Linked DNA regions of Lonchura striata. The protein of the gene in region 3 purifies or fractionates together with the protein of the main gene of each other region. This does not show direct contact. Links are inferred from orthologs where the notes say so. Each region holds a gene or a part of one and is shown on either strand. Other genes may lie near its edges.

What was found.
Region 1: the proteins of AMFR (region 3) and INSIG1 purify together in Homo sapiens (affinity purification with western blotting; 6 studies listed by BioGRID and IntAct, with this or other methods). This does not show direct contact. The link is inferred for Lonchura striata from reciprocal best matches to the Homo sapiens genes AMFR and INSIG1.
Region 2: the proteins of AMFR (region 3) and UBAC2 purify together in Homo sapiens (affinity purification with western blotting; 4 studies listed by BioGRID and IntAct, with this or other methods). This does not show direct contact. The link is inferred for Lonchura striata from reciprocal best matches to the Homo sapiens genes AMFR and UBAC2.
Region 4: the proteins of AMFR (region 3) and ERLIN1 purify together in Homo sapiens (affinity purification with mass spectrometry; 3 studies listed by BioGRID and IntAct, with this or other methods). This does not show direct contact. The link is inferred for Lonchura striata from reciprocal best matches to the Homo sapiens genes AMFR and ERLIN1.

Annotation. Positions count from the first base shown.
Region 1 is NC_134603.1:149,213,864-149,220,752, forward strand, and holds the start of INSIG1 (insulin-induced gene 1 protein), read right to left. Parts: upstream 3,012-6,889; 5' UTR 2,947-3,011; exon of another isoform or gene 2,838-2,946; intron 2,569-2,837; 5' UTR 2,553-2,568; coding exon 2,156-2,552; intron 66-2,155; coding exon 1-65. UniProt on the Homo sapiens protein: Oxysterol-binding protein that mediates feedback control of cholesterol synthesis by controlling both endoplasmic reticulum to Golgi transport of SCAP and degradation of HMGCR.
Region 2 is NC_134604.1:78,098,128-78,106,113, reverse strand, and holds the start of UBAC2 (ubiquitin-associated domain-containing protein 2), read right to left. Parts: upstream 3,003-7,986; 5' UTR 2,935-3,002; coding exon 2,904-2,934; intron 2,424-2,903; exon of another isoform or gene 2,284-2,423; coding exon of another isoform or gene 2,277-2,283; intron 1-2,276. UniProt on the Homo sapiens protein: Restricts trafficking of FAF2 from the endoplasmic reticulum to lipid droplets.
Region 3 is NC_134615.1:15,556,570-15,563,714, forward strand, and holds the start of AMFR (E3 ubiquitin-protein ligase AMFR), read right to left. Parts: upstream 3,014-7,145; 5' UTR 2,926-3,013; coding exon 2,704-2,925; intron 1,298-2,703; coding exon 1,205-1,297; intron 1-1,204. Other genes in the region: NUDT21 (cleavage and polyadenylation specificity factor subunit 5), read right to left, coding at 4,865-4,886, 6,120-6,234, 6,629-6,704. UniProt on the Homo sapiens protein: E3 ubiquitin-protein ligase that mediates the polyubiquitination of lysine and cysteine residues on target proteins, such as CD3D, CYP3A4, CFTR, INSIG1, SOAT2/ACAT2 and APOB for proteasomal degradation.
Region 4 is NC_134609.1:37,327,772-37,335,551, reverse strand, and holds the start of ERLIN1 (erlin-1), read right to left. Parts: upstream 3,018-7,780; 5' UTR 2,964-3,017; intron 2,078-2,963; 5' UTR 2,042-2,077; coding exon 1,929-2,041; intron 1,165-1,928; coding exon 1,083-1,164; intron 734-1,082; coding exon 687-733; intron 1-686. Other genes in the region: CHUK (inhibitor of nuclear factor kappa-B kinase subunit alpha), read right to left, coding at 3,825-4,140, 4,703-4,842, 5,172-5,319, 5,774-5,870, 5,989-6,038, 7,399-7,508. UniProt on the Homo sapiens protein: Component of the ERLIN1/ERLIN2 complex which mediates the endoplasmic reticulum-associated degradation (ERAD) of inositol 1,4,5-trisphosphate receptors (IP3Rs).

The DNA.
Region 1 (6,889 bases), on a different chromosome or scaffold from region 3:
CCGCTTGAACTTGTGGGGCTCCCCGAGGTGGCTGTCAATGCAGGGGTACAGCAGGCCAACCACAGCTGCAAGAGAAGGAACACCACTTGGACCAGCTGCTAGGCAAGGATTACTCCAGCACCACCAAATATTAGCTTGGCACATAAGGGCTTGAGAAAGCAACGAGGTGCTCATCGCACCGCTGTAAGCCTGATGGAGAAAGCACAATTATTACCCAGCTTTTCTTCTTTAGAGAAGTGAAAACCCCAGTGTAACAAGCAGCATTCTCTTTGAACCTTTAAATATATATTGCATTGTTAAGGTATCTGACTTGAAGCTCTTTTGTTTAAAGAGATTTGTCATTTGACATCCTGAGCAAACACTTGTACCAATAAAAGCAAAGCACAATAAAAGCTTTGCGAGGAGTGCAATCTGTGTTCATTGCTCACGTGCAGGGCTGACAGCTTTATGAACATGATTCATCAGCTGTGAATCAGGCCCTGAATTAAGTATTTGCCTGGACTTAAAAAGTTTATTAGCAGAGCTGCTTTCTCTCTTTCTGCTGGGCTGTAAGTCAGCCCAGGGCTCCTGTCCATGTTGTCAGATGAATTTTGATACCAAACAGAAGCAGAGCTGAACTTAAACAAGCAGCTGCCATCAGTCTACTTATATCAGGGAAAAATAACTACTCATACAATTAACAAGACAAAGTTTTTATCTCCATAAAGCATTTTTCAGCCTTTATCAGCCTGAAAGTTGGCTGCAGAAGAAAACCATAGGCCAGTGTTAGCTCAGTTGTTGGCAAGAACACCAGAGTTTCATTCTTCTAGGGATTGTAACTCCCTGAGTTGTCACCAACTCCAGGGTTAGATGTGCTGCTTTTACTAAGTGCAACTTCTGTGTTTATTTATTTCCTTTCCTGCTCTTTTTTTTTTTTTAATTCCTTAAACTCCTAAGAGTAATAAATTCTGTGTTAGAGAAGGCTAGAGAACATGCTATTCCAATAGAGACGTGTTCTGAAACAGCTTAATTACTCTGACACCAGCTACCAGGACTCTTAACTTATGCTAACACCTGAATTCCAAAGTTTAATCCAACTGTGACAGGACTACAAGAACTCTCATTGGAGAATATCCCAGGCCATCCCTTTAATGTTCATCCTTTAATGTAATCCATTAATTAACACAGTTCATTATTTATTCGAGTTTATGGTTTATCATTCATACCCCCTTCACTGTGTGATACAAGCAGACATCACACAAAACATTAAACAAAATATGCATTAAACAAAAATATGCAGAAGTTGTTTAAAGTATTTTCAACGCAAATTAAAAACTGTTAAGAGTGGGTTCGTTTCCTAAAATTTATCTCCATTTTTAATCCTCCAACCCTTCACCAAAACTTTGTTTTGCCTAGACAGAGGGACTGGGGGGGGGGGGGGGTGGGGGTGTTATGAATGATAAACCACGAAGTATGCGCCAGCTGCTGTGACAACCACACCGCGGCCTGAGCCTTCTGTGGTACTTGCCCAGCAGTGGTGACAGGGACAGCAGGCAGGGCACGGGGAGGTGACAGGGGCAGCGGGCGAGGTGGCGAGAGCAAGCAGGTGACGGGGGCAGCGGGGAAGGGGCACACAGGTGACAGGGGCAGGAAGGTGACGGTGGACAGAGAGGTGACAGGGACGGGGGACAGAGAGGGGACAGAGAGGTGACAGGGACGGGAGCAGGGCCCGGGCCGGTGGCGGGGCCCGCTGTGGCGACAGGGCCGCGCGCGCCGCCGCACGTGACTTCCTTGTTGTGGCCCAGCCCGTGGCCAGTCGCGGCCGCAGCCAATGGCGAGCGCCGCCCGCCACTCACCAGTTCGGCGGCAGCCAATGGGCGGCGGGGGGCGGGGCCAGCGCGCTCGCGCCGCGCTCACCGCCGCGCCCCGCGGAGCCCGCGCGGAGCCCGCGCTTCTCGGCCGCCCTCAGAGCGCACCGCCTCCAGAGCGGCCCCGGGACACGCGGGGACGGACCGGGCGCGCACCCTCCCGAGTGCCCGAGCTCGCATCTCTCGCTGTGGGATGGAAACGCGGGGCTCCCACGCGCACGGCTCAAGCATTCAGCCCCACCGCCTCTCCTCCTCCGCGAGAGGATGAGGAATAAAGCTGAAATCGCTGGTGGAGGTCAGGCACTCACCTGCTGCTGTGCCGCAGCACGGGGGCACCCACCAGGCGGAGGAGAAGAGAGTAGAAATCACTTCGTCGGGGAACAAAGTCACGTTCCGCTGGATCTGCAGCAAGTTCAGCACCAGGGCCATGAAAGCACCCACGACGAAGAGCACCACGCTCCTCTGCACCAGGTGCTGACTCCAGTTCAAGGTGCTGCTGGCGCTGCTGGCGGTGCTGCTGGCGCTGGAGGTGCTGGGGCTGCGAGCTCCGCGACCCACCAGCGCCAGCGAGGGGCTGGACACGGAGGAGCTCAGCATCTCGCCCACCTTGGCGGCCAGCCCCGCCGCCGTGTCCCCCAGCTGGCTCCTGTGCCTTCCTCTGGCGGTGCAGGAACAGCTCCAGGCGCAGCTCTCCAACCTGGGCATTGGCTTCTCCGGAGTCCTGAAACACACGCACAACCACACGCTACTAAAGCCCCAGCAACGGGTCGGGCCGCGCCTCCCTCCGCGCTGACACGCACCGCCGCATCCTCCAGCGCCGGCCGGGCACCGGGGGATGCGGGGTGACCCGGCCCGGCCGAGCAACCCCGGGGCTGCGCCGCCTCGTCCCCACGGGAGCACACGGACCCCGGCCCGCCGCCCCCGCGGGGACGGGCATCGCTCCCTGCCCGGGCCCGTCCGTCTGTCCCCGGGCACCCGCGTCCCGCTCACCTCGGGATGGAGAGGGGGGCTGCGCCGGCCGCCGCGCCGCCGGCCCGCGCCCCGGGTAAGGTTTATAAACCCCGAGCCGCGGATGTCACGTTACCCGCCGCCGACCTACCCGCGGCCGCAGGCAGCGCCGGGCCCGCCGCTCCGCTCCGCGCCGCCGCCCCGCCCGTCCCCTCCCCGCCGGGCGGGGCGAGCGCCGGGCGCGGGAGCCGCCGCGCCAGCCCCGGGCGGCCGCGGCCCCGCTCGGGTGAGGCGGCGCAGCCAATGGCGGGCGGGCGGCTGATATGACGTGCGGGACACACCACCCGCCTCCCGGGCCCGCCGCTCCGCCCGCTCCGCGCCGCCGGCGGCGGCAGCGCGCCCGGGATGCGCGCCGCTCCCGGGCGGGAAGGGGAGGGCGGTGGAGGGATGGAGATGCCGGCGGTGGTGACGCTGTCACGGAATCATGGAATGGTCGAGGTTCGAAGAGAGCTTTAAGATCATCGTGTCCAACTGTGAGCCCAGTGGCGCCGCTGTAGCCCTTAAACCACTAAGCCGCATCACCCAGTGCCAGCTTCAGACACTTCTTGAACACCTGCAGGGTGACTCCACCACCTCCCTTGGCAACCTATCCCAATGCCTGACCACCCTAAAAGTGATTTTTTTTTTTTTCAGCTATATAATCTGAATCTCCCCAGACTCATTTTAAGCCCAAGTGTCAGTGGCCGCTGCAGGCAAACCTTCGTGTGCTTGCCCAGCCTGCTGCGTGTCCCTTTGGGTGATGGCAGTTAGTAATGGGGAAGGCTGAAGGCGTCTGCTGTGGCCTCTCCTGAAGACGAAGGGATCACTGATCTCTGTCATAATTCTAAAATGGTGTAAGGGGATCCTGCCAAGGCTATGACTCCGTAAGATGGTGGTGCCAAAGCCAGACGCTGCGTCAGCAGCCAGCCATGGGGTGACCGGAGGATCCGAGGCTCCTGACTGGGCCCTGACAGCCTGAGCAGCTGCTCTGCCAGCACTAGCAAAGCTCAGGTCACAATCCTGCCAGACCAAAATAACAAAAACCCAGTTAAATACAACTTCACCCTCTGTACTCTGCAAGGGTTTGGGAAGAGGCCTGTCAGGGATGGTTAAGTGTGAGCTGTATATTATATGGTAGAGTTCAGCACCAAAAAAATGAGTACACAGAGCAGGACTCAGCTCCCAGGATGCCTTTTTGAGACGCTGGTTCTCCAGGACACATGGGAGGCTGGCGTTTGCAGTAGGAATTGCTGGGCTTCGTGTTTATTCGCTAGCCTCAATGGTCCAGCAGATCTTTTCACATGAGGTTGTGCCATTGTTACACTTAGGAGGAATACAGGACCCAAGGGCTTCCCAAGGGATGGCACTGAGCATTCAAGGGTAGCTGTTAGCCATGCCCATGATGGGCACAACGATGGTCCAGGATCAGTGCTCAGTGGTGGTTCCAGTCGTCTTTCACTGATGTGATAAACGTAGCAAATAAAATACATGAAATCAGTTGAAGATATGGAAAGAGGCAGGTCTTCTCTGCATTAATGAAGAGTAAAATTGACCTGGGATATGGCTATCCCTTTCTAGCTGGGATAGGAAGAGTTAGCGTAACTGATCCTGCTGAGCAAAGTGCCTTTGGAAAATGTACAGGACAGATTTGTTAGTGCCACTGTTGGAAGTGACAGATGAGCCCAGTATTTTTCTCTTAATGCCAGCTGGGATCACCCCAGTAATGTCTGGCAGACTTTACTGCTGAACCAAGGTACATGTGTCCTCTGTAAGTGGAATTGTAAATACTCAGTTTCTGTTGCTATTTACAGTACTGAAACAGCTTTTGGTTTTACTTTAATATGCTAAAATTGTTCAGATTCTTCTGTCAGATTTTTTTTTAAGACACAATATATTTCTCTTTCTCCATTTGTTTTTGGATTTTTTTCTGACCCAGTTGGATCTGCACAAAAAGTTTCAGTCAACTATTTTGAGAGAAAACAGCCTTGATATATTGTCAGCTTTTTATGGGTTCCTCTGCACAACATTTTGTTTCAGGAAATCACATGCAGACCTAACACTTCCCCTCATGGCCACTGTGTACAAGCTTTGAATTGACACAGACAATTTATCTGCATCCCCACACCACTAAGAAACACCTTCAACAGCTCTAAATAAGGGCTAGAACTCATTCCCTGGGAAATATTCTTTTTTGGTGAATCACTTACTTTGAGATTTATCAACAGGACTGTGGATCTGAGATAAAATGATTCATCTTTGTAGGAAATCTCTTCTTGGACTTGGCTTATGGGAAACAAATATAATTCATCCTTGCTTGTGCTGCATCTCTACTTTATTTGAAAAAATATATTTCTGTATTTAAATTCCCCCCCTGAATCTTGCCCATATTTTCAGTGTTTGGGCAGAGTTTATATTCCCTTGTGCTGCATCTGCTAGTTTTCCTTCCTAAAAGAACCTCTTAAGCAATTTTTTTTTTCATCCTGTGTTTTTCCTTTCCTCGTGAGTATGCTTTTTTTGCTATTTCCTGCAGAATATTTTATTTGAATATTTTATATGCATTTTTTTCATATTCATGATATCATGTGGTGGTGCCCTTCTTTCTTCCTGGTTTCTTTTGAGACAACAGAGACCAACTTCTGAGAGGGTAAAACTTGCTGCAGCTTTGCTAAAACCAGCTGAATCAGTGCAAATCTAAACTAGTCAATAACCTGTCCCTGAGCATATTTTCCCCAAAGTTACACACTTAGAATGAAGGTTAAATGCCCCTTTTGTTCGTGTTGCTTTACAGTCCTGTTGCTTTACATTTCTTTTTGGAATCCTAAGGAAGGTTAGGCCTCAGCATGCTTTGATTAATGCCTGAAATTTTATGCTTAACAGTTATTTCTGGAAAGAAGCGCTCACATGTCTTTGTAAGATTAATGACATCGTTATTTTTATCTCATCCCTTAGCAAAGGCAGCAGAATCTCTAAGTATTCAGCCTTGCTACTCATTACATAAATAAATAATTTCACCTGTTCTTTCACACTTTCTGTGTTAAACTCTGTGATGTTCTAGAATCTGACAATGTGCTTGCCTCATGAGGGCTGTCTCATGGGCCTCTTACGTGGGAAGTTTAGGATACTTGGACAAGTTATTTTTCTCCCTACTTAAACCAGATCAAAACATGAGCTGTCTGCTGATAAAAGCTCAAAAGGCAGTGGTGAAGAATCACAGAGCAAGGCCTGTTTTATGTGTAAAACTGCTCTCCCTCTGCTTCACTGGAGACTTTTTTGACTTTATTCACCTTCAAGAATTTCTCCTATTGATACAGAGAATAGAAACCTTCCCAGTGTCATATGCTCAGCCTTAATCTCCTGTGTCTCTATGAAAGGATTTAGTGACATTCATTGTCTGATTCCCTATGCCAACCCTATGTGCAAGAGTTCAAAAAATCTTTCGACTTCAGCAGCAGTCTGTCATCCTGAGTTCTTTGCTTTATCAATGGTCTCCAGTGTACTTGTGTGAATTCTCAGGAACCTGCAGCAAAGCCTGCAGATCACAGAATCATAGAATGGTGTGGGTTGGAAGGGACCTTCAAGATCATCTTGCTCCAACCCCCTGCCATGGGGGTTCCACTAGATCAGGTTGCTCAAGCCCCATCCAACCTGTCCTTGAACACTTCCAGGCATGGGACATCCACAAATTCCCTTGACAACCTGTGCCAGGGTCTCACCACACTCACAATAAAGAATTTCTTCCTGCTATCTAACCTAAACCTACTCTCAAGGTGAAGCCATTCTCCCCTGTCCTGTCACTTCAGGCTTTTGTAAAAAGTCCCTCTCAATGTTTCTTGTGGGCTCCCTTCAGGTACTGGAAGGTCACAATTAGGTCACCTTGAAGGCTTCTCTTTGCAGGCTGAGCAATCCCAATTCTCTCAGCCTTTCCTTGTAAGAGAGGTGCTCCATCCCTCTGATCATCTTGGTGGCCTCCACCAGAGTTGCTCTAACAGATCCATGTCCTTCCTGTGTTGGGGACCCCAGATCTGGATGCAGCACTCCAGGTGGGGTCTGAGCAG
Region 2 (7,986 bases), on a different chromosome or scaffold from region 3:
GCCCCTGAGCACATTGCAATCCAGCTCAGCTGGGTTGGTGTTCTTATAATCCATTTGCATATGTCTGCACTGTGTCTCCTACTAGTACCCAGAGCCACTGGCTCTTTTTTCCAGAGCATACCAGCTCCTCCAATATTCCAGATAACAGAAACAATTTCCACAGCAGAGGCAAACTGTCTTTGTCCTTTAAGAAGGTGGTGTCCTTTGTTTCCTGGCTTCCCTATCTCACAGTCATACCATGTACCAGGTATGTTTATTTTTACTTTTACATCTCCTCGTTCCACCATTATAGATGTTAATCGGTCTGTCAGAGGTGGCACAGCAGGCTGCAGGAGCCTTCAGTGTGCCCTGGCATGATCATTGCTATTGCTGCTGAACCAGGTGTCCACTTATTTCATTCAGGATCACTCATACAGGTCCCCTCATCCACTGACACTGCCTTCTGCCAGAGGTTCCCAAGCCCCAGGGGAAGAATACACACATACAGTTCTCTGGTGCAACATCAGGCACCAATTCATTAACTACCTGAACAATCAGATTCTGTGCATCAGTGACAGAATCCCACACTCCTGTGTGGGATTTGCTGCACACACAGAAGCAAGTCTGAGGGCACAGGGACACCTGAAACTGCCACAGTTGTGTCCTAGGTGAGCATATGTCACTGCACCTAAATCCATACCTCTACTGGAGTTTGTCAGTGCACCCATACCAGCCAAATCTTATTTTAAAAACCCACTTTAGGTCAACAGGTAAGTTCAGTAAGAACATATGTTGTATTTGGTTTTGAGAAGGAAAAAAAAAAAAAGCATAACACTAAGTATGGAGCTGTATCAGGGAAGGTTTAGGTCAGAAAGGTTATTTGCCTAGAAAGTGACCACACACTGGAACAGGTTCACCAGGGCAGTGACCACAGCACCAGCCTGACAGAGTTCAAGAAGCATTTGGACAATGCTCTCAGACACATGGTGTGATTCTTGAGCTCTCCTGTGCGGGGCTAGAAGATGGACTTGATAATCCTTGTGGGTCTTTTCCAGATCAGGATATTCTATGATTTTCTTTCTGCAGAATGATATCTAGTTTTTTTCCCTACCACATATATGCTTCTTATGACAACCATTTCCCACTCATCCTTCTGATGGATCAAACCTGGAAAAACTTGTAAATACTGACCATGACTCTCCACCCATTCAGTCTAACAAGGATACTCTTCCTCCTACATTCTTTCTCATAAAATTATACACAGACATATGCCATTGAAAAGTCCCTCTATAGTATCTACTGGGGGCACAGAGAGAGATAAAAAATCAGGAGCTGAAAATCAAGGCACAGTATTATCAGATCCATCTGAAAAAGACTCTTCCCTTTTTTGGATTCCTCACAGAAAATACAGCTACAACTAACACCCCTTTTTAAATGCCAGAAATATTCCTCCCCTAGTCAGAGGGTGCTTTCACACTCAAACAGAACCACAGAATCAATTAAGTTAGAAAAGACCTCTAAGATCATTACATCCAACCTGTGACCAAACACTATCCTGTCAACAAGACCATGGCACTGAGTGCCACATTTCAGTCTTTTCTTAAAAATACCTCCAGGGATGGTGACTCTACCACCTCCTCGGGAAGCCCATTCCAATATCTAATTATCCTTTCTGTGAAGAAATTCCTCCCAATGTCCAACCTGAACCTCCTTTGGTACAGCTTGAGGCTAAGTCCTCGGGTCTTGTCCTGTCTCTGGTTACCTGCGAGAAGAGGGCAACCCTCACTTTGCTTCCACCTGAACCTCCTTTTCCCAGCCAAAACAACCCCAGCTCCCTCACCCACTCCTCAAAGGACATGCATTCCAGATGCTTCGTCAGCTCCACTGCCCTTCTCTGGACATACTACAGCACCCAAATGTCCTTCCTAAATTGAGGGGCACAGAACTGGAGACAGTACCCGAGATGTGACCTCACCAGTGCTGAGTACAGAGGGACAATCACAGCCCTGGTCCTGCTGGCCACACTATTGCTGATACAGGCCGGGATGCCATTGGCCTTCCTGGCCACACTGACTCATGTTCAGCTGGCTGTCAACCAGCACCAGATCGTTTTCCTCTGGGCAGTTTTCCAGCCACTCTTCTCCAGGTCTGTAGTGCTGCCTGGGCTGGTTGCGACCTAAGTGCAGGACCTGGCACTTGACCGTTTTGACCCTCATACTGTTGGGTCTCGGCCCATTGATCCAGCCTGCTCAGATGCCTCTGCAGAGCCCTCCTGCCCTTCAGCACACGGACAGTACCACCCATTCTGTAAGGAGCACGCAGGCAGCAAAGCTTTGACGTATCATTTGTCCTCGCCTCTCTTAGGACTGTGTGTGGTGCCCAAGTGCACACTGCAGCCAGGTCAGCTCCCCACTGCTGCTTCCAGACGCTGCAGAGTCTGTGTCCTGTAAAACAAGCTCAGAGCCAGCCCCAGAAACCTGTGAAGTCAGTTCAGGTAGCACCGGGACATGAAATTATTTACATTATAATTATGCTGTGCATAAAAATAAAGCTAAGCAGAGCTACGGGCACGTTAGTCCTTACGTCTGCCTTGTCAATAAACTGGTTTTAAAAATAAGTCTAATTTCAAATTAAGAAAATAGGTTTGTTTTTTTTCTTTTTTTGATACTTGGCATGGAGGTCTGTATGTATGCAAATACATATAAACACACAGAGAGACACAGACACACACGGACATGCACACACCTACACAGGCAGACACACACACAGACACACCCGCGGCTCCTCCCGCCGCCGTACAATTTAAAAGTGCAGCCAAGAGAGGACCGAAGGCAGCGGCTCCCCCGGGGCCGACGGCGGCAGCGCCGCCCGCGCTCCCACCCCGGGGCGCCGCCCCGCCCGGACCGCGGCGGGCCGGTACTCACAGAAGCCGTTGGAGCCGGTGCTGGTGAACATGGCCGCGGCCCGGCCCGGCGGGCGGGCGCGGCCGGCGGAGCCCCGAGCTCGGCAGCCCCCGAGGAGCCGCGGCGCGCCGGGGCCGGGGCCGGGGCCGGGGCCGGGGCCGGCGCGGGGAGGGCTAAGGCGGCCGCGATGGGCCAAACGCCGCCGCCAGGCGACAGGGCGGCGCCCCCTGCCGGGCCCGGCGGGTGAGCGGCGGCGCTCCGGCGCGCGTGTGTTTTCTGGAATCACTCCTGCTCCCAGAAATGGGAGAAGCCTCTTTCCGCTGAGGGAGGCAGAGCATTGGGACTGGCTGCACAGGGAGGGCGTGGGGTCTCCCTCTCTGGACGCGTTCAAAACCCACCTGGTCACATTCCCGTGCCACCTGCTCCAGGGGACCTTGCCTTGGCTGGGAAGTTGGACTAATCCATCTCCAGAAGCTGCCGCTTCCAGCCCTAACTATTCTGTGATTTCATGATTTAACACGATTTAAATTTTAAATATGTAGGTGCCCTGAGGAAGCCTGACTCCTTGCACTTGGGAAAACTGTCCCTCAAGGCTCACCGTGATTTGGGGAGTCCAGCAGGTAAATGTCTCATTAGAGCTGTGGGTGAGCTGTCATTACAGCTAACAGAGACAGAGCTAATACAGACAGCGGAGTTTGGAGAGCTTTTCAGGTGGCCAAATGAAGGTGTCTGCTTTAGGATCAAATTAATTCCTCCCCAGGCTCCACCAAGGGACCACATTGAAGAGATCACCACGGGCTCTGATGGCACATCTGACTCCAGCTCTTCAACAGGATGGTAGGCACCATATTTCAGCTCACCATATGAGGTGAGCTGAAATCCCGATTTCAGAGGAGATATGGTATCATAAGGCTGAAACTATTAGGGCACCAAATTTCACTGACATTTTCAATGAAAATGCAGAACTCAGATTTTACTGAAATAAGTCATGCTAGGCATTTAAAAAGGTGACAGTGCTTTGCAGCACGAGCTGTGTGCACTTTGTGTTCATGTGATGATGGAAATGCGGGCCTCAAATCACATTTACCTTACTGCAGTACAAGACTGAAAACCAATGCCACTCTGGAACTGCAAAATATAATTTGTCAGCTAGGTAACAATTTTTAAGTAGGCAACCAATAATAAAAATTTTTAGGTAAGTAATATATTTCTTGTATTCCATAAATTTTGTAATATATCATAAAAATGCACTTTAATATTTGCATTCAAATGCAATTATTAGCTAGCATTCCAGAGTACTGAGTTCCTGAAACTTTGTAAATTTAATCTCTTAAATACTGCCAAGGCGACAGTCCGCAAAGACTTCAGCTAAGATTAGCATATCAGCATGTATCTTTTAAATGGCCAATTTCCAGCACTAACTTCAGATTTCTGTTGCTCACTTGTCCTCTCTGTACAAGGCCTGCATCAGGTAGGTGGGATTGGGACTCATAATCCGCTCACAGAGCAGAAGGTATGTCTAAACCAGCCAGGAAGAAGAGACAAAGAGCACATTAGAAATCCTGACTTATCCCAAGTTGAGGTTCTTTCCTCTGAAAAGAATCTAAATTGGATTCACAGCATGAAACCCATCACATACTTTGTGTCTTTGGCTACAGAAAACCAGCTTACTCTCTGCTGTCAAAGCACAGCTGGAAGAAATTATTTGCTACAGAATTTTTCCTTCTTTCTTTCAAATGCAAATGACTGTGGCTGCTGTATGCTACATATGCAAACTCTGTCTTGCCAGTGCACTGCTGAATGCCTGTAACCACACAAAAGTGACAGGCAACCCTCATTTCTAAGAAATGGAAGGTAAATAAGGAGGTGCAAAGCCTGCAAAGCTTGTAAGAGCTCCAGCGTGAAACCTCTTTGGAAAAGCTTGGGTGCCTTCTGAAGCTGGGATCTAATGAGGTACTCATGGCTTAATTAATTACGATTTTGAATGTTTTCGACTAACCTCCACTTAAAGTAATTAAGCCTTTTTGTGGATCTGGCTTTACTATAGGTGAGGATAAAACCTATCCAGTATCTAAACTTTTCCAGAATTGCCTTTGTAATAGGTTTAGGAATGTTGTTTCAGTGGTGAAGATAAAGCTTGTTTTTTTTTTTCTTTTCACAGGCTCTCAGAATCGAGTGACAGAGCAATCATTATTTAGAAGTTTACAGTCCTAAGAGCCAAGACCTAGTATTTTTCTGTTTTATAGGCTCTGCTTTGAAGATTTCCCTAGATTGATGTACTGCTAGGTAATCATATTAGAGGGATTCTTCTCTGCAATGTAGGGCACTGGAATTGGATTCAAGTCATAATCACTGAACATACTAGAGACTTAGGCATGTATTCCACTGAATGAGGATGCATTTGGGAAATGTTTAAGGGCCAGTTTGAAAGCAGCTCTGTGGCCTTGCTATCATTGACAGATACAGCAAAGCTGGATGAGTAGCAATATCTGGCAAACCAAAACCCTTGCAAATTTGTCAATACTGCTGGAATACAGGCAACTGTCTCTCAATCTATTTGCTGCTATCTTATAAATGTCTACAAATATATTTCAGAATCTGTGAAACCCCTGATGTTTTTATCCCTTGTTTAAAAAAAAAAAAAAAGTCAATATTTCTGAGATTACAGCAGATGAGATCCACTATGTATTTTTGAGAAAACTGCACATCCCTTGCTAATAATTATAGTTTAACATATTGATTGAATAGTAGAGGAAATGTAGTTTTTGCCCTCAGATTCAGTGCCGAGAAGAGAGGTATTTTTATCACAACATCATCACTGTCAACTGGTAGCATGTCATAAGAATTAAACAAATTATTTGCATTGTTAAGTATAAAGTGTTGACTACTTTGGAGTTAAATGAAATCATCAGTCCTCATGCTTGCTTTGGAACATATCCCAGAATAGGAAGGCTAGCACTTATCTACTAATCTACTCAGAACAAGCTTAGAAGGCTTTGACACTGCTCAAATGTCAGCTTGAATATCTCCCATTTGTTTATTACATCTAGTTAGTGGGGTCAATGTGGTATGGTCAAAAGAAAGTTATTTAAATTTCCTGCTCAAAAGTAAATCCCAGGAGACTGGAATTTAAATTTCTAGCTATTTTCTAAAATGATTAAGTTGCTTTCTTCTCTGAACTTGTGATGTTTCTGAAGCAATTCTTAATTACTAATTAATCTCCAACAGTCAGATGCTCCTCTGGCATATAGAATGAAGGACAGCAGCAGAGTAAAACAGGATGGAAATGTAACACCTTGCTTAGGAATTTTCTGACTAAACTCGGTGTAGGTTAATGATTCCGCAGGTTAATTGCAAGTGTTCTCTGTCTCTTTGACATCTAGGGTTTCCAAGGCATTCATAGCAGCTCTTGCAGTTATTACAATTACCTGAAATATGAACAGATACATAGAGGTTAATGCTAAATTTAATGATTTCAGTAACTCCTCCCTACAGTTTCTAACCTTTGTGTTTGGTTACAGAAGATGTTAAGGAAAACAGCTGTGCAACACACATTTCCTGCAAAAATCCAGGAGCAGTGCAGCTTGCTGATAGCAGCTTGCTGATAGCAGCTTGCATTGGAACAGGAGGAAGGACAGAAGGCAGATACTCACTCTGCTGAAATCAGACTGATTTGACCTGTACCTTTCCAAAATTAGTGAATTTCTTTCACTCATTCGGAAGTGAAAAATACTTTATGCTGCAGCAGACCTGTCCTCTTAAAGTCTAGTGTGTGTCTAACATTTCATTACATAGTTTTGGGTTTTTTTACTGGAGCTAGAAGATACAGAATGTTTTCTAGCTTAGCTCTTTCCAAGTAGAGCTGGTAGGCGTACCGTTAATAAGGAGCAATGGAGTTCCTGAAGGAGTATTGGGCTTTGTTGTATATTTTTGCAATTGATTTTCCATCACACTATTATAAAAAAATTTAGGACACTCTAACATGTTCCATTAGTTAAGGTTCTCGCCATGTGATTTTTGCAAAATTTAAAATGCTATTTTAAACCTGAATGCTATGTCAGTGCCTGGTAACATGAATGTGGGAAACTATTGCTTCAGTTACTCAAACACATCACTGCCTCATTTTTCAGCTGGACCCCCTGAATGGCAAGCAATGACAATGCAGTAACAATTTAAGGTACTGGCTTATCTGGAGCTGAGCCACATACAGTTTTACACTGCAGGTCTTAACCATCACTTCCCTTTTAACCATCAGTCATGTGATCCTAAGCACTGGCACCAAATGCACCCAGATGTTGGCATCTCTGTGTTCAAGGTGCAGCACCAAGCACTTGATCAGCAGCTTGGTCTCTAAGTACTTGTAAAACACTGCCTAAAGGTACTTAAATTCCATGTCACATTTATTTTCAATAAATTTATTTCAATGAAGGTTGAAATCCTGTGAAAAACAAGAACATATGGCAGGCATAATCAGGAACCAGATCCTAATACAAACATATTGGGAAAGCAAGGTTAAGATAGAATATTAAAAACTCAGATTAAAATCAACAATTAAGAAGCATCAGAATCAATCTGCCTATGTTCATGTTTTATTTCACTTAGATGAGACTTCTTGTGAGAATTAAAAATGCACTGGTCTAGCTGCCCTTGTCTGAGCAGCTGTTGCTGCATTTTAGATCACTCATTTGAAGGCCATTAATTTACTGCATAGTAAATTGTGAAACATAGTAAGCATTAGCAAAATGATAATGTTTAAGCATAGTGCTCAGAAGATCCAATTAAGGAATCCGTTAGGAGGGCAAATAATTACATATAGCATTGCATAACACAATGTACTTTGCATATCTGTGTTCTCTGATGCATACAAGAGATCAAGCACTAGTCATCTATTTCAGACTGAATTTATGTCAAAGAGTACCTTTGCGATCTGGAGCATATGCTAAATTACCCAATATAACTATCAGTGATAGCAAAAACACTAGAGCCTTTAAGATGCAAAAAATTATTTGTATTGTTCCACACAGGTATGATTGTGTTGAAATTGCCTATTCTGAAAATCAGATGTTAGAAGATATTTATAAGATTTTTAAAGGCCTTTTTTCTC
Region 3 (7,145 bases):
GAAAGGGATTAAGAAATTTATGAAACAAAATGTTTTGTTAAAGTATATGATGAAATCACCAGGAGTTTAGTTAAAACAGGCCCTGAGTTCCTTAAAGATGCTGCTGTTTCGGGCTCGCCAGTATTAATAAGCAGCTTTCCTTTACATGACAACTGAGGCAAACTCCCACTGTCTAAACACAAATGGACCCACACTGCTACTGCTTCTCACTTCAGTTTTTAAGAGGGTAAAGAACATCCTGGAAACCATCACCAGTTAAAATTCCACATCCTTACAGTCAACATGGACTGCAGAAAAAGTCGGGCCCATTGCAGTTTGATAGTGTCTTGGTTTTAATACACCACTCAGAGCCTCTACAAGGTATGAATTACAAATGCAATAGGCTTTGAGGGATTCACAGTTATTAATGAGGCTTTGTGTGCCTCAGTTCTGCATGCCAAAAATCATCATGGACTGATTCCTCCTATGGAACTCTTTTTACAGACTTTTTTTTTAATATGTGAACACACTCCAAACCACTGCTCCTGCATTTACATGAGCAACTTATGCATTTGCCTTGCTTTAAAAATATATATATAGAGATACTATTCAAGGTCTTGCTGCTGCTTTCATCTTCTGCAGGATCCTGTTTTTAAAAACTCTGCTTTCACAGTTCCTTTGCTGAATTTTTACAAACATTCTCACATAGACAAGAGCAGGACTAAACATCCTCTGTTTTCTGTCCTGCTCACCTCCTTTCTCTGGGGATTTTCTTGCCTACTGCCTCTTAAACCTGCAGGCTGATAAACCATCTACTCAGTGTATGAGGCTGGAAAGCACTTCTCCAGCAGTTATGGTACAAAAGAGGGAACTCAAAACTGCCAGTGCTGACAGCTACAAAATGCAACGGAGAAGTGCTGCCAGGTACAGGCAGAATAGAGAAGAACACATTACAAGTGTTTTGAAGTGAGGTGTGCTTGTAAGAAATCTAACAGAGCTCATTAAAGACACAGGATTTTTCAAGCTGACTGGGGGCTTATAAAATACAACAGGAAAAATTCCCTTCAAAATAAACCGGAAGCATGTGGCTGTGGATATGCTAGCTAACCAAATGGTAAGACATCCATTGTAAAATTTATTTTTCTTGTGCAGTTTCAGCAATTCCATATAGAAAATCACACCATGTGACTTTGTTATGTTTCAGTTTCCTTGTTTGCTGTCTCACCTGCCTCTCACTGACACGAAGAGGACCAAACACCATATACTGGATTAGCTTAGCAACCAGCATCAGAAAACAGCAGGCAGTGTTCACTAATACCTGGAAAGAAATAAAGCAGTCAGTGACAAATACTTTTGCCCTATTTAGAAGAAGTGAGAGAAGGGGAATGAACAAGTCTAACAAAACCTGTCATTGTTCACAGAACAGTATTAGTTGCCTTTTCTTTTGATGAAATTTAAGCCTGGCCTCTTCCAAGACACATGAAGTAGCTGATAAGTCTTAGCTTTTTTTTTCTAGAAATACTAACACATTCAGTTTGATACAGCAGTAAAGCCAACAAACTGCTCTACCACTTCACAACAAATTATTTCATACAGATTAGAAAATTTCATAAAAGAACATGGGGACAAAGCTTAGAGATCACCAAGATGCTCCTTTTGTTTAACATAAGGCAGATGAGAAAAATCCAGTTTGAATCTGTTGTTACAGTAAGAGGATTCAGAGGTTGCCTCAAAATATGCTGAATAGCACATATCCCTTCCGTAATAACACGGCTTGAGGCTTTCTTAGGAAACTTCTTTACAGCAAAGTAGCAAGAAGCAGAGCACATGGGCCTGGGAAAACTGCTATCTCATATTTGACAAAAGGATTTGTAATTAACTTTTGACCTAAGCAGGACACTAAAAAGGCTAGAAGGTAGATGATGAAGAAGCTTCACCCTGTCATTTCCAAAGGACATCACTTGTCCAGGATTCTTAAGGCTGCAAGACGAATTTTCAACAGGATGAATATATATGGCATATTAAAAACCAGCACCTCGGTCAAGTAAGTATGCTGTGAAGTGGATGTCCAACTACTGCCACCTTTGAGTGACAGACAGATGAAAAGTTCAACAGCAACAACTCAGCAAGGTATCCAATATCGCCTTGTTGAGCCTTTATTTCAACTGCAAATCAGTGAGCCAAAAATCATGAGCCATTATGAGGTCTGGGTTTTAAAAAGTACAGAAAATTATTTTCTCTTTTTTCTTTTCCTTAAACGGTGAGAATGTTTCCTCTTACCTACCAAACGTTCAGTGCTATTTAAAAGGAAATAAACAAAGGCAGCAAGGCTCGAGTACCTGACAGCCCCTTACTCTGATTTCTGGCAGAGCAGGTCGGGCAGCGCTTGGCGAAGCTGAGCGCTTGGGACCGCGGCAAACGCTCCCGACAGCTTCTCCCAGCCCCCCGGGCAGGACGAGCGGAGGCGCTCGGGGAGAGCAGCACAAGCCGCGGGCTGAACTCGGCTCTAACGCTGCCCACCGCAGCCAGGCAGGAAGGGAAGCGGCTGCGGAGGCGGCCCGGGGAAAGCCAGCCGAGCCCCCTTCTCTATTCCGCGAGCAGTTTTCAAACAACAATAACGAAACTCCCCCCGGGCCCGCCCACCTGCCCCCGGCCGCGGGGAGGTGCCCAGAGGCCGCCGCCAGCCCCGCAGGCCCGCAGGCCCCGCCGCCGCCCCGGGCTCACCCAGACGCAGAGGCTGTCGGAGAGCAGGTAGTAGGCGACGTCCAGGGCCCGCGGCCCGGCGCAGCGCTGCGGCTCGGCCAGCTCGGTGCCCGCCGCCCCGCCGGGCGCCTGGCTGAGGGCGCGGTAGGCGCTGAGGCCGGCGGCCAGCAGCGCCAGGGCGCTGAGCGCCGTGTAGGTGCGGAGGCTGGGCCAGGGGAAGCGCTCCAGGAACAGCAGCGGCATCGCGGAGCCCTCGCGAACGCCCGGCCCCGGCTCGGCGCGCTCCCCCGGCTTAACGCCCGCCCCGCCGCCCCTCCCCGGGGCCGGGCGAGACGCCCCCACTGGATAAAGGAAACAGACCGGGCCCGAGCCCTCCGCCCCGGCTCCGGGCGCCGCGTCCGCCCGTCACCCCGCGCGCTGAGTCACGGCCGGGGCGGCGCTTCCACCGGCCCGGCCCTGCCCCGCGCCGCCCGCGCCCGGGACAGCGGCCGCACCGCCGGAGCCGCGCCGGGGGGAAGCAGAGGGGCCTTCGGGAGCCCCCAAACCTACAGGCAGGGTGGCAGAGAGAGCGTAGAGACTGCAGGAGCAGCGCCCTTCCACTGACAGCCTGGAACAAGAATTAGTCTCGCAAACTACCGTGTGGTAAGGTGAAAGGTGCTCTTAAGTGCCAAGGCTCAAAAGCTGCACTCTGCTCCTTGTTCTTGCAGCATCTGACTTCCAAACTTCCACCTGCCTTTTCTTACTTCCACAGGCAAAAAGATTCTGTTTTCCACTCTCCTGCTACCTGTATTTCCCCTAGCTGGTAGCTGAGAAACCATATATTCTACTCACCATCTGTCTGGGCCTTCCTTCCATAGGACCAAAGTGAACAGCCCTTGCACTCTCCCAGCATTTTGCAGTACATTTGCCATACTGCACAGCTTCAATTTGACCACCAAGCTGTCAGGATTGTTCTGTACGTTGCTTACCAGTGCAGATGGCAGCAGAAGCAAGCACTTTGGCAAGATTTGGTTCTCTTGGCAGCAGGTGCTCTCCAACCCTGCCTTCATAAAAGAGGACAGTGCACAAGCAACAGTGCATCTTCTGATCACAGGCAGAACTTGGAAACAAATCTTTCAAAGACTCATTCATTAAGCAAAATTATGGAAGACTAAAAGCACTGTGAAGTGTCACATCCAAATGGACTTTATGTTTAGCCAAGCATGTAAAATCCCCAGAAGTAGAAAGATTGATATTTACTGCCTACAAGAAACTGAAATGTTGAGAAAAAGCAAAAGTGGGTATCTTTTGCAGGATGAGACGGCACAGGACAGCATAACATGGAACCACTTGCATGTGGCATTGGTTAAGTGTTTCAGCATGACCCTAATTCTGTCCCATAGCTAAGAAAAAATATACAAAATTAACCTCACTTTCCCAATTTTAACTGCAGCTCAGACCAGTCCAACAGAATTTTTGGGGTTGTTACTGTCTCAAGGGGGCACTGAAGGAACAGATGCATGCTGCATCTCCTCCAAGCCCTGTTACAAACCGATCGGTTCTGGTAAAAAAGGTAAAGGCTACGCTTGCCTTTAAGTACTCATTCTCCCTCAAAAAAGCAGTTCTGGTCTCCAAGTTAGACTTAAAACAATATTGAATCCACTTAAGCTATTTCATTTCTCCCTGATCCTAGGGATATTCCCTTCTCACGGATAAAGATCCCAGCATCTGAATGGGCCCTGAATGGCTTAGCTCCTCCTCATTCCAAGATCATCTGTATTCCTGAAGAAAATAATAAAGCTTAAAATATGCATCTAAGAGACAATAAGGAAAAATAAAAGAACTAATAAACAGAAGGAAAAACAAACCAAACAAACAAACAAAAAACCTAAAAAAAAACACAACAAAAAGCAAACCAAACCCAAGACAAACTGAATCTTAACCATATTGTTTAATGTTGTACAAAACAAAAAATTGGTGAGTATTACAATGATAAGGGATTATAACACTGGTAGCCCATTGCCATCTCTCTAGCTAAACAGTTGAAATTCACTTCTCTGTTCATACCCTAGAATGTTTAGTGGTCTTCAGGAACAGAAAGACTTCAAAAAATCCTTGTGTCACACATATTCGTTTCTCTACAGTTCAAAGCTGTGCTCACAGAGACGGCTTCTTCTACTGGAGTCTTCAGGTATATAGGAACTCAGTTGTAAATAAAGTTGAACCTAAAATTAAAAGGATTATACCAAGTGAGGAATTTTGATTCTTTTTTTTAAGGGCATTTTTGAATGAATAAGCAAATGTTTTGTTTTTGCTCTGGATAAGCCTCCACCTGACAGGACAAAAGTACATTTTTTCATAAGACAGCTTTACAGTATAGCAGTATATATATCATTTTTAACAGCCAATCCTACACTAGCATTGCACAACTGTCTCTTATGGTTTGAGAAGAACTAACTATTAACATTTCATGTCCTAAAACAAGGTCACAGATACATAAATCACAGTGAGAGTTACATTCCTCCATCAGCAACTCTTTTGCAGCACTTCTGCTACTAGACCAACCTTACATGTTCCAAGGGGAACACACAAACATACTGAAGAGAGAATTTTTCCCAGCTAAGTTTCATAAATAACTGTGGAAGCAAGCAATCCATCTCAGCTTCCAGGTGCCCAGCCTTTGCATGTGTCTGTTGCACCACTACCCAACCTGCATGACAGTTTGGCTGGTACTCAAGAGGAAATACCTGCTGTCTTTAGAGGAGGGGAAGCCAAAATTTGGGCTAGAGAGAAAAATACTCAGCAGGAAATAAGATTATGTGCAAGACCAGTGCTAACATACTTTTTTCATCATAGTAGGTAGGTGACAGAACTACTTCCCTGAGGAAGAGCTGGCAGGCTGTGGGACTCCTAGTATGCCTGAACATGCTCTCAAGTAAGAGACCAGTGAGCTCTGGAGAGACAAGCCACAGCCATTCCCAGGTAATAAAGTCAAAGCATGGTATACATTCCAAGAGAAAGGAAAAAATACAGCTGTCCCTACAGATATTTGTGTCATAAAGATGCTACACTTCATTAGCTCTACTAAAGAGTGTAAAAAAACCCACCACATTTAACCAGCACAAAGCTGTGATAATATGCATACCTAACTCAGTGCTTCAAATTTACATCCTGGCTTTAACTCTCCAGCTGTCTCCAACAACTACAAGAAGCTGCTCCTCAGTCTGTGCACAGCCTCATCCTCACATCTTCCATGTGTTCCTTAACTACAGCTGCTAGGTAGGACTTTGGTGCTAGCCAGTTGTGATCAGTGCCTCAAAAGTGTCCATGCAGTTCATCTGAAGCAGAATCTTTGGGATAGATGCCACCTTTTCAAGTTGGTTTCTGTAGCACCTTGCTTTGCTCTGGTGTCCCACAGGAAACCATGTTCCCAGAGCCACTATACAAATACAACATACCTGCTCAAAAGTTGAGGAAGGCTGGAAATAATAGGTCCATATCCTGGTGCGTTGTCATAGAGCTCAAACAGTGGTGCAGCAACCAGCTTGTAATTTTTGGGGACTGCAAACAAAGCTAAAAACAAATACAAGTTGATGAATCAAAAAAACCAGCACACATTCAGCCAAGGGATCATCATTCCCCACAGACCTCAAAACAAGTTCACTACATAGAGCACTCAACCAGGTTTATTGCTTTTTTAGTTAAATATGGGATTCACATCCTGTACACAGACTGATGCAAGCAGGAATAAAAATTTACTAGGAAGTCATGTTCAAAGGATCATCTACCTTCAAAACAAATACCAGCATTTAACTTTGTTAGTGATCAACCACAAACAACTGCAAGCATACACATCTTGGTATAACATACCACAACATACACAATCACAACTTTGTGTTCCTTGAGTGAAATGCAGGCATTTAAATATTGTTACAAATACAACCCTTTGATCCAAACAAACACTTACCCTTTTCTTGAAGCTGGACCAAAAATAGCTTTTTGTGTTCTTTTGGCTTTGTAATATGAGCTGGGATATATGGATACTAGAAGAAAAATGGTAAAAAACAGTTGTACAGAGCTTTGAAAATACTATGTAATCTTAAATGCTACTTTATAAATTATCAAGCCCTGTACAAGTTTTCAGTGTGTCATATATTATTCTTTCATGGCATCAAATAAAACCATTTTCATAAGAAAGTACTTAGGAAAGGAATGCTGTTGCTGTCACAACTATTGACAGGCTCTAAAGTGGCATCAATATCATAAGCAGTTAAAACAACCCAATAAAACAGAAATGCATAAAAGCAAACTAAGCAAACTAAACAAAGATTTTCAATATTAAAGCCCTTAGAAATAGGGTAGTGAGACTAGGGCATGTTCCACAAGCAGCAGTACAAGAATCTCCATTGTGGCTACAAAAGGAATATAAATGGTGCATATGTCTCAATGTAGAACTGGAAGCTACTACATCTAGTGGTTTCTCA
Region 4 (7,780 bases), on a different chromosome or scaffold from region 3:
TCAAAATTAACTCTGTTTTATTAACATTGCCACTAAAATTCACCTTTTAATTTCAATGTGGTCACTGTGTGCCACCACTGATTTAATTTTTTGAACAGAAATTTTGTTGAGGACCCTGAACATAAAAGACAAGGAGAATCACTGGGTTTTTTTTTACCCTGAAGAGTCATCACTTTAACTTGTGGACGAACCAGCACAACAGGATCTGTAACCCAACTCAACCAGCCCTCTCCTCCTGCTTGCTACAACTCCAGCAGGTCTGTGCTGACAGAAGAATCAGCCTGACTATCCAGCAGGAATTTCATTTGGAAATGAACTCCTTCCCATCAGGAGGATTCCCACTCCCTGTTTCCTTCTGCCTGCTGCTGGGGTCAGCACCTGTATCAGCCACAGGACTCAGAGTGGAAATGACCAGTCTGAGGGCAGAGCAAAGCACAAGTAAGGGAGTGTCAGAGAACTGAGGGGAGAAGCCCAGAAAAATTCAAGATAACATCACAATAAATGCAAACATGCTCTGAACAGCTCCAGCAAGAGTCAGTGCTCCCTCCTGTTGTTACAGAGGGATAAATGTGTGTACATCTGGGATTAATTCTATGGCAGGTGCCTTTCCTTCCCGATCCCTGTGTCCCAGCACTGCAAAGGACCCCAAGGAGTGCATCTAGAAGAAATACAAGTGGAAGCCATACCTTGTCCCACAAGGCACATTCTTCACTTCATCAGTCTGCAGCGTGGTCTGCAACACAAACACAGGCACTGTTCACAAACCTGACTCCAGGAAGGCCCAGACTCCCACAGTGGCACCACAGAGCCAAAAGCATGTCCTTTGCCACCCCTGTGATGCCTGCAGGTGTGGGCAGAAGGCAAAGCTTCTCCTCCCCTGCCTTTTGGGGGATGCACAGGCAGCTGTGCCTGTTTCCCTGCTCTGGAATGCGGTGCTGCAGGGGAACAGTGACAGCCACAGACATGGACTGTCCTGCCTGAGCAGGACACTGCCACTCCCAGCGGTGTCACACACACACACGGTGGGGAGAGCTTTCCAAGGGGACAAGTGTGGCTCCCCAGGGCAGGGAGAGGGCACCGACCTGCACGGATTTGAAGGTGGTGATGAACGGGAGCATGATGTGGTAGCCAGGGCCGCTCGGGCTGGTCAGCAACGCTCCACCCCTGAGGAGAGGGAGGAAAACAGGCTCAGGAAGGTGCAAACAGCAAGGGCTGCCTTTGAGAACATGCAGGGACAGCTCGAACTGCCAGGGGTCACAGAGAGTTGCATCAGTGCCCTAAATTCGCCAGCAATTCCACAGAAAAAGGGCTGAGTGCACCTGATCTTTGCCTGCTGCAACTTTGCGTAAAGCCTGCGAGCCATTAACTCTTGGAGCAGGCAGCTATTGCCAAACCCTCCCAACATTGCAACACTGCACAGAGCTGCAAGAACACAGACTTCTCCTCTCTAAATAGTTCAGTGGTAACCATGGAAAAATCCAGCCATGGATGTGATGCTGCCAGCTTGGATTTCGGCACAGCCCCTCGCCCAGAGAAAAGCCCCCTGGGGTGTTAATGCTGAACACCATTGTGGTCAAAGGAAAACATCCACGGTGCTGAGCAGGAAGGGCAGGGAAAGCATTCCAAAGCAGCGACACAGCAGGAGCTCTGGCTGGGCGACTGCTTGGGACAAAGGTGACAACTCTTGCTGGCACAGAGGGAGATCAACAGATGCGAGGAGGGACGCGGAGAAGCTCTGAGATCAGTGTGAGAGGGCAGGGAGGAAGGAGGGGCAGGAGAAGCAGCCGAGGGCTCAGCCAGCCCAGCACACGCGGGCTCTGCACGGGGCGAAGGGAGCAGAAGCAGCACGGGTGCAAACCCTGGGGGAGAACCGGAGGGAGCCCAGGGCAGAGCGACCCGGGGCGCCGAGCTCCGGAAGGGCTCCGTACCTGTAGTACACGGCCAGGTGTCCCTCCTCGACGCGGTGGATGGCGGAGTAGAGCAGGAAGACGAGGAGCCCGCTGGCAGCCGCGGCCGCCGCCCCGGCCTGGGCCATGGCCATGCTCGCATCCCCTCCCGGCGCCGGGCTCCGCGGGCCCTGCCCGGCACGGAGCGGCGTCAGCGCCGGGCCCGGCACCGCCCGGCACCGGGACACGCCCGCACACACGGGACAGGGACGGGACAGGGCCCGCGGGGACTGCCCCGGCACCGCCCGGCCCCGTCCCCGTGCTCTCCATCCCGCCCGTATCCCTACCCTGTACCTGCCCCTACTCCATAACGACCCCAATCCCTGTCTCAGACCCGTTCCTTTACCCCAATTCTTGTCCCATCCCTGTCCCACAGCCCTCCCAATCCTTTATCCCAGTCCCTGTCCTGTTCCTGTCCCTATCATCTCAATCCCAATCCCTGTCCCTACCCTTTACCCTAATCTCTGTCCCGTTCCTTCGTCCCAATCCGTTTCCTTTATCCCAACCCCTGTCCTGCTTTTATCGCAATCTTTTACCCCGATCCCTGTCCCGTACCTGTTCCTGTAGCCCAATCCCTGTCCTGTTCCTTTATCCCGATCCCTGTCCCGTACATTTACCCCTATCCCTGCTGTCCCGTATCTGCCCTGTTCCTTTACCCCGTTCCCCCGCTCCCCGTTATCCCGTACCTGTCCCGTTCCCTGTTATCCCATTCCCCCGTACCTGTCCCGGGCCTTTACCCGCTCCCCGTTACCCTATACCTGTCCCGTTTCTTTACCCCGATCCCGTTGCCCCGTTCCCCGTTATCCCGTACCTTTACCCGTTCCCCGTTATCCCGTACCTTCACCCCGTTATTCCGTACCTTTACCCGTTCCCCGTTATCCCGTACCTTTACCCGCTCCCCGTTATCCCGTACCTTTACCCGTTCCCCGTTATCCCGTACCTTCACCCCGTTATTCCGTACCTTTACCCGTTCCCCGTTATCCCGTACCTTTACCCCGTTATACCGTTATCCCGTACCTTCACCCCGTGCCCCACGTGCCGCCGAGGCCGCGCTCCCAGCCCCTCCGCGCACGCGCGCTGGCGCGCGGCACTCTGGGCGCGCCGGGCCGGCGCGGGGTGATGACGCCACCGACCCCCCCCCTCCCCCTCCCCAGTTGCCAGGCAACGGCGCGATGGCGAGTAGGCCTCGGCCTGTCAGCTCCGAGTTTATTCATTCTATATACACGCACTATACATTCATGGGTCACACCGCCCCCCGCCCTCAGGAGGCTCCACGGGCCGGGCCCAGGCCGCTGCCTGGGGGACAGCCGGTGGGTGACACGGTGATAGCAGTAACACACTGGTGATGGCCATAAAACACCAGGGATGGCCATAAAACACCGGCGATGGCCATAAAACACCGGCGATGGCCATAAAACACCGCCATGTCCCACAGGGAAGGCGGCCCTCAGCACACAGAAGGCACTTGGGTGATGCAGCACCGCAGCTCCTGGGGTTACTTCAGCCAGCTCCAGTCGAAACTCTGCGAAGAGGAGCAAAAACACGACTGAGCGCAGGGTCTGGATACTGGATGTGTGTCTTGCTTGGCGAAAAATCAGTGACTGCCGTGAGAAAGGATGCTCTCAGCACAATGCAGCACAGCACAGGAGCCCTGTGAGCCCACTCTAGTTTGGGAGATCTCGGGATTCCCAAAGGATGAGTGCCTCCTCTCTCCTCTGAGCAAAGAGAGAGCTGGGATGGCTCAGCCTGGAGAAGTTCCAGGGTGACCTCACTGTGGCCTTGCAGTGCCTGAAGGGGCTACAGGAAAGAAGAGACTATTTCCAAGGGCCTGGAGTGCCAGGACAAGGGGGAATGGCTTCACACTGCCAGAGGGCAGGGCTAGGTGGGATTTTGGGAAGAGACATGTATCCATGCACACTGGCACAGGGTGCCAGAGAACCTGTGGCTCTCCCTGAATCCCTGGAAGTGTCCAAAGCCAGGCTGGATGGGGCTTGGAGCAACCTGGTACCTTTTCCTATTCAAGGATTTCTCCACATGCCCAGGGCACCCCTGGGTGTCCCCTGAGAGCCAAGTCCTGGCAGATGCCCCAGCACTTACCATCATGCTGTTCTGCTCCTGCCTCACCTCCTGCAGAATGCTGCTGAAGAGCTCGAGGTAATTCAAATTCTCCCGGATCACGTCAGCAAAATTTTCCCTGCAGGAAGGGAAAAAAGCCCCAAGGTGATGGATTTCAAGCAGCACCAAAAGTAACACCCCCATCAAAAGGTGCTGCACTGATGGAAAAAAAAAAAAAAAAAAAAAAAAAGAAAAGAAAAAGGAAAACAAACAACCCAAAAAAGTTATTTGTAGTTTGTGCAGTGGTAGGTGACATAAAAACCTGCCTGGAGGTGGCAGGACAAAGGAGAATGGTTTCACACTGATAGAACATAATTAGAATTGTTAATGAAGCAAAGAGCAAAACCCCTCAGCGCCACAGAACTCAGCATAGACTGAGGGAGAGGAGCCTTAAGAACCAGATCCAGCCCCAAGGAAGAGCAACATGACATGCAATAAACGGATGCACAGTCCTTCAGCAGGGCATGTACCATGTGGAACTAGCTCAGAAACAGCAGAGATTTCTGAATAGAGAGTTCAACCAAATCCCTGATTTTTTAGAGCGTTAGTGACATACACACTCCTGAAACCACTGTGGGAAGGACAAAGCCCCTGAGATGCTGAGTTCCCTGCAGTGGCTGCTCCCCAGCAGCAGCTCATACCCATCTTCAGGAGCTGCCAGCGAGGACAGAGGGTGAGGAGCAGTGTTCCCTGAGGAGCTCTGGGGGAGCCATGTGGCTGCTGGACTTGAGGCTGTCCCTTCCAGGCTAGAGCTCACCAGGGATCGGGAGGAGCTCTGAGTCTGCAAGAAAGACATTCAGAAGAATTTAGGCTTCAATGATATATAGGGAAGATTTGGGATTGCACCTGAGCACTGCTGGTAACACACACAGAGATGTGGGAACCACGAGGTGGCTTCAGGCACTGTAATTAATGCAAAAAAAGGGAACTCTTAAACACTTCAAACTAACCAGGAAAGCACCTATTTAACTTCTGCTTTTACCATCTCAGACTGCCCTTCTCTACAGGAAAAAAAAAATCCAACCATGGTGTGGCAGTTACCCCTTTTTGCTGAGTTTACTTCCCGGCTCAGGCACTGCAAGAAGTGCAAACAACCCAACAGCTACTCACACAAGCAATTTTCAGCAAATGCCAGATCTCCCTTTGTCTTTTTCCCTGCATCTGCATCACTGAGTTGTCAGCTTCCTTGATGTTATTCAGAGCCACCTCAATCTCGGGGAGCAGGTCAATGATCTTCTGCTTGCAGCCCAAGAGCTTGCTGGAATGAAAAGCAGACACAAAATCACTTCCCAGCACATTTTAACAAAACCAAAAGGATCTTGGGATCCAAGATACTTGAAAAATTCATGTACAAATCACTGCGTTATCTTCTCTGTAACACTACTGCTTTTTTTTTTTTTTCCTTTGAATTTGAAGGAACTTTTTTTCCTTTGAATTTTGCAGGAATTTTAATTTTTTTTTTCCTTTGAAGATTTGTATTCCAACTTCCAACTGGCAGAATTTGCCTCATTTTAAAGTGAACTCTTGGATGCTAACAATGTTTTTAAAAATGAAGTGGAAACTCAACACAAAGGAGCAGAATTAAAGCTATGAGAAATGTGAATGGAGCCTTTTGGGTTCTGACCTCCATGGTTTTCCCTATCCTTTCTGACGACAAAGCTACAAATGCTGCAAGTTGGATTTGTTTGGGGTTTTTTGTCTGCATAAAGTACCTGAGGTGGCCAAAGAGCTCCTTGAGGACTCGGTCCTGGCTCTGCACTGTCTGCACAATGATCTTCACCATGTCTGTGCTGTCACTGTAGGCATGATCTGCAAGGGCCAGCAACCACCACATTAGTAAATCCTAACAGTATTGCCTGGGTTTCAGTTCAGAACAATTAATCATGGGGTAAAAGTGTGAAAGTCTTTAAATCATCTTCTTCCATACCTGGAGGTCGTGTTTTTAATTGCTTGTACAGGTCTATGGCTCTCTGCTCCCTTTAAAAAGAAGAATATGATTCAGGCAGGTGTCGGCAGCCAGCTGACTCAGGAGAAAAAGCACTGCAGTGAAGGGATGCCTTTTGGAACTCAGACACTGGACCTTCTCCTACAGTGGGCCACAAGCATGGCCTTTGGAACACAGGGATCCCTTTCTGTGATGGAATCCAACACTTTCCCCAAAGCTGTCTCTCTTTTTCTCCAGCTGTGCAATTTCTTCTCAGAAAACCACACCAAGCGGAGCTTATTTTCAGTTTCAATTCTTCCCATGGCTTAGCTGTGATTCCTTTCCCCTTCATTATCTGATTTAATTTTTGAAACTCTGACTGTACAACTGCCTGAGAAGTTCTTGTTCCTGCTCTGCATTTTTTGCCTGAATTTTAGTGATATTTTGTAAATGGAAAGAGACAGCTGCATCACAAGCAAGACGACCGTGCTTCTCTTCTTCCCATTAAATAAACATTACTTCTTTCAAGCATTTCAAAAAGTCACACTGAAAACTTCCAGCCTTGAACAAAATCCTCCCTGTTCTAAATCCCAGTCTGTCAGAAACAAGCAGCAGCTTCCCAGCCCTGATCCTGGTGGAACTGCAGCAGTGGAATTGCTTAAAAATAATGTTTAAGGAGGCACAATCCTGGTTAGTTTGAGCAGCTGCTGCAGGAGGTGGCTTCTCCTTTGCACCACTTCCTCCCCTGTGCACCAGTTCTGCTGCAACTACACAGGATGAAAAGCAACTTTGCAAAGAGGGAGGGGGGAGAACATACCAGGAGCAGGCACATTTCCTCCCTGAACAGTCAGAGCTGTTCTGAAGAGCTCTTATTGACAGGTTTAATGGCTGTTCAATCCTTTTCTTTTAGAACTGCCACTTGTGCTCTCAGTAGCAGCCCAGTAACTGCTTCCTATCTCTCCTCAAGATCAAAAATACCATTTAGCTCTTTCGTATTTTAATACTTAAAAAAAAAAATCAACTTTCCAAATATCCAAGTACCCATGAGATAGTTACCCTTGATTTGAAAATACTGAAGGTAATAGGGTTTTACAATGCTCATGTAGTTTTCTCATTCAACAGTAAGAAAGTCATTCCTCTCCAACACAAAAGGAAATCCCCACTTGAGACCAAGATTTATCTTAGAACTAGGCTCTTGAAAGATGAGGTTTCACAGTTCAGTGTCCCACGAGTGGTAGGATCTTTCCTTTCACAAGCAAAATGATCTCAAATCAACCATACATTACTCTGTACTTGTGGTTTGCATTTCAAAATCGCTGAGGGAACCAGCTACAGAGGGGAAAAAACCCCCTCAGACACTGAAATACACAAGATCCAATTTTCTGCAGTAAGAATGAGCAGCACAGGACTCACAGGCTCTCCATGACCTCTCCTTGGCGCCTTGCATACGGACTCTTCTGCAGCTCCACGATCTCCGTGTGCAGAGCCATGATCTGCTCATCCAGGTAGCCAATGTCTTCAGCCTGAGTTGAAATGTGGGCACAGATCAGGCTCAAGGAGAGCAATCAAGGAGATAAAGATCCCCAGAACACTTGTTTAGATAATGGGCAGACTGCCTGGAGAGTTTAGGAGACAAAAAAAAGCTCCTTGGCACAGCACTGCTACAGTAATTGAGGTTTTTGTTCTCAGTGCATGGTATCACCTACAACCAAACCTCTGACCACCAACACTGGCTGATAAAAATCAGTTTCTTCATACATCATCTCTCTGTGTCTCTGGATTGTCTCCTAGACTA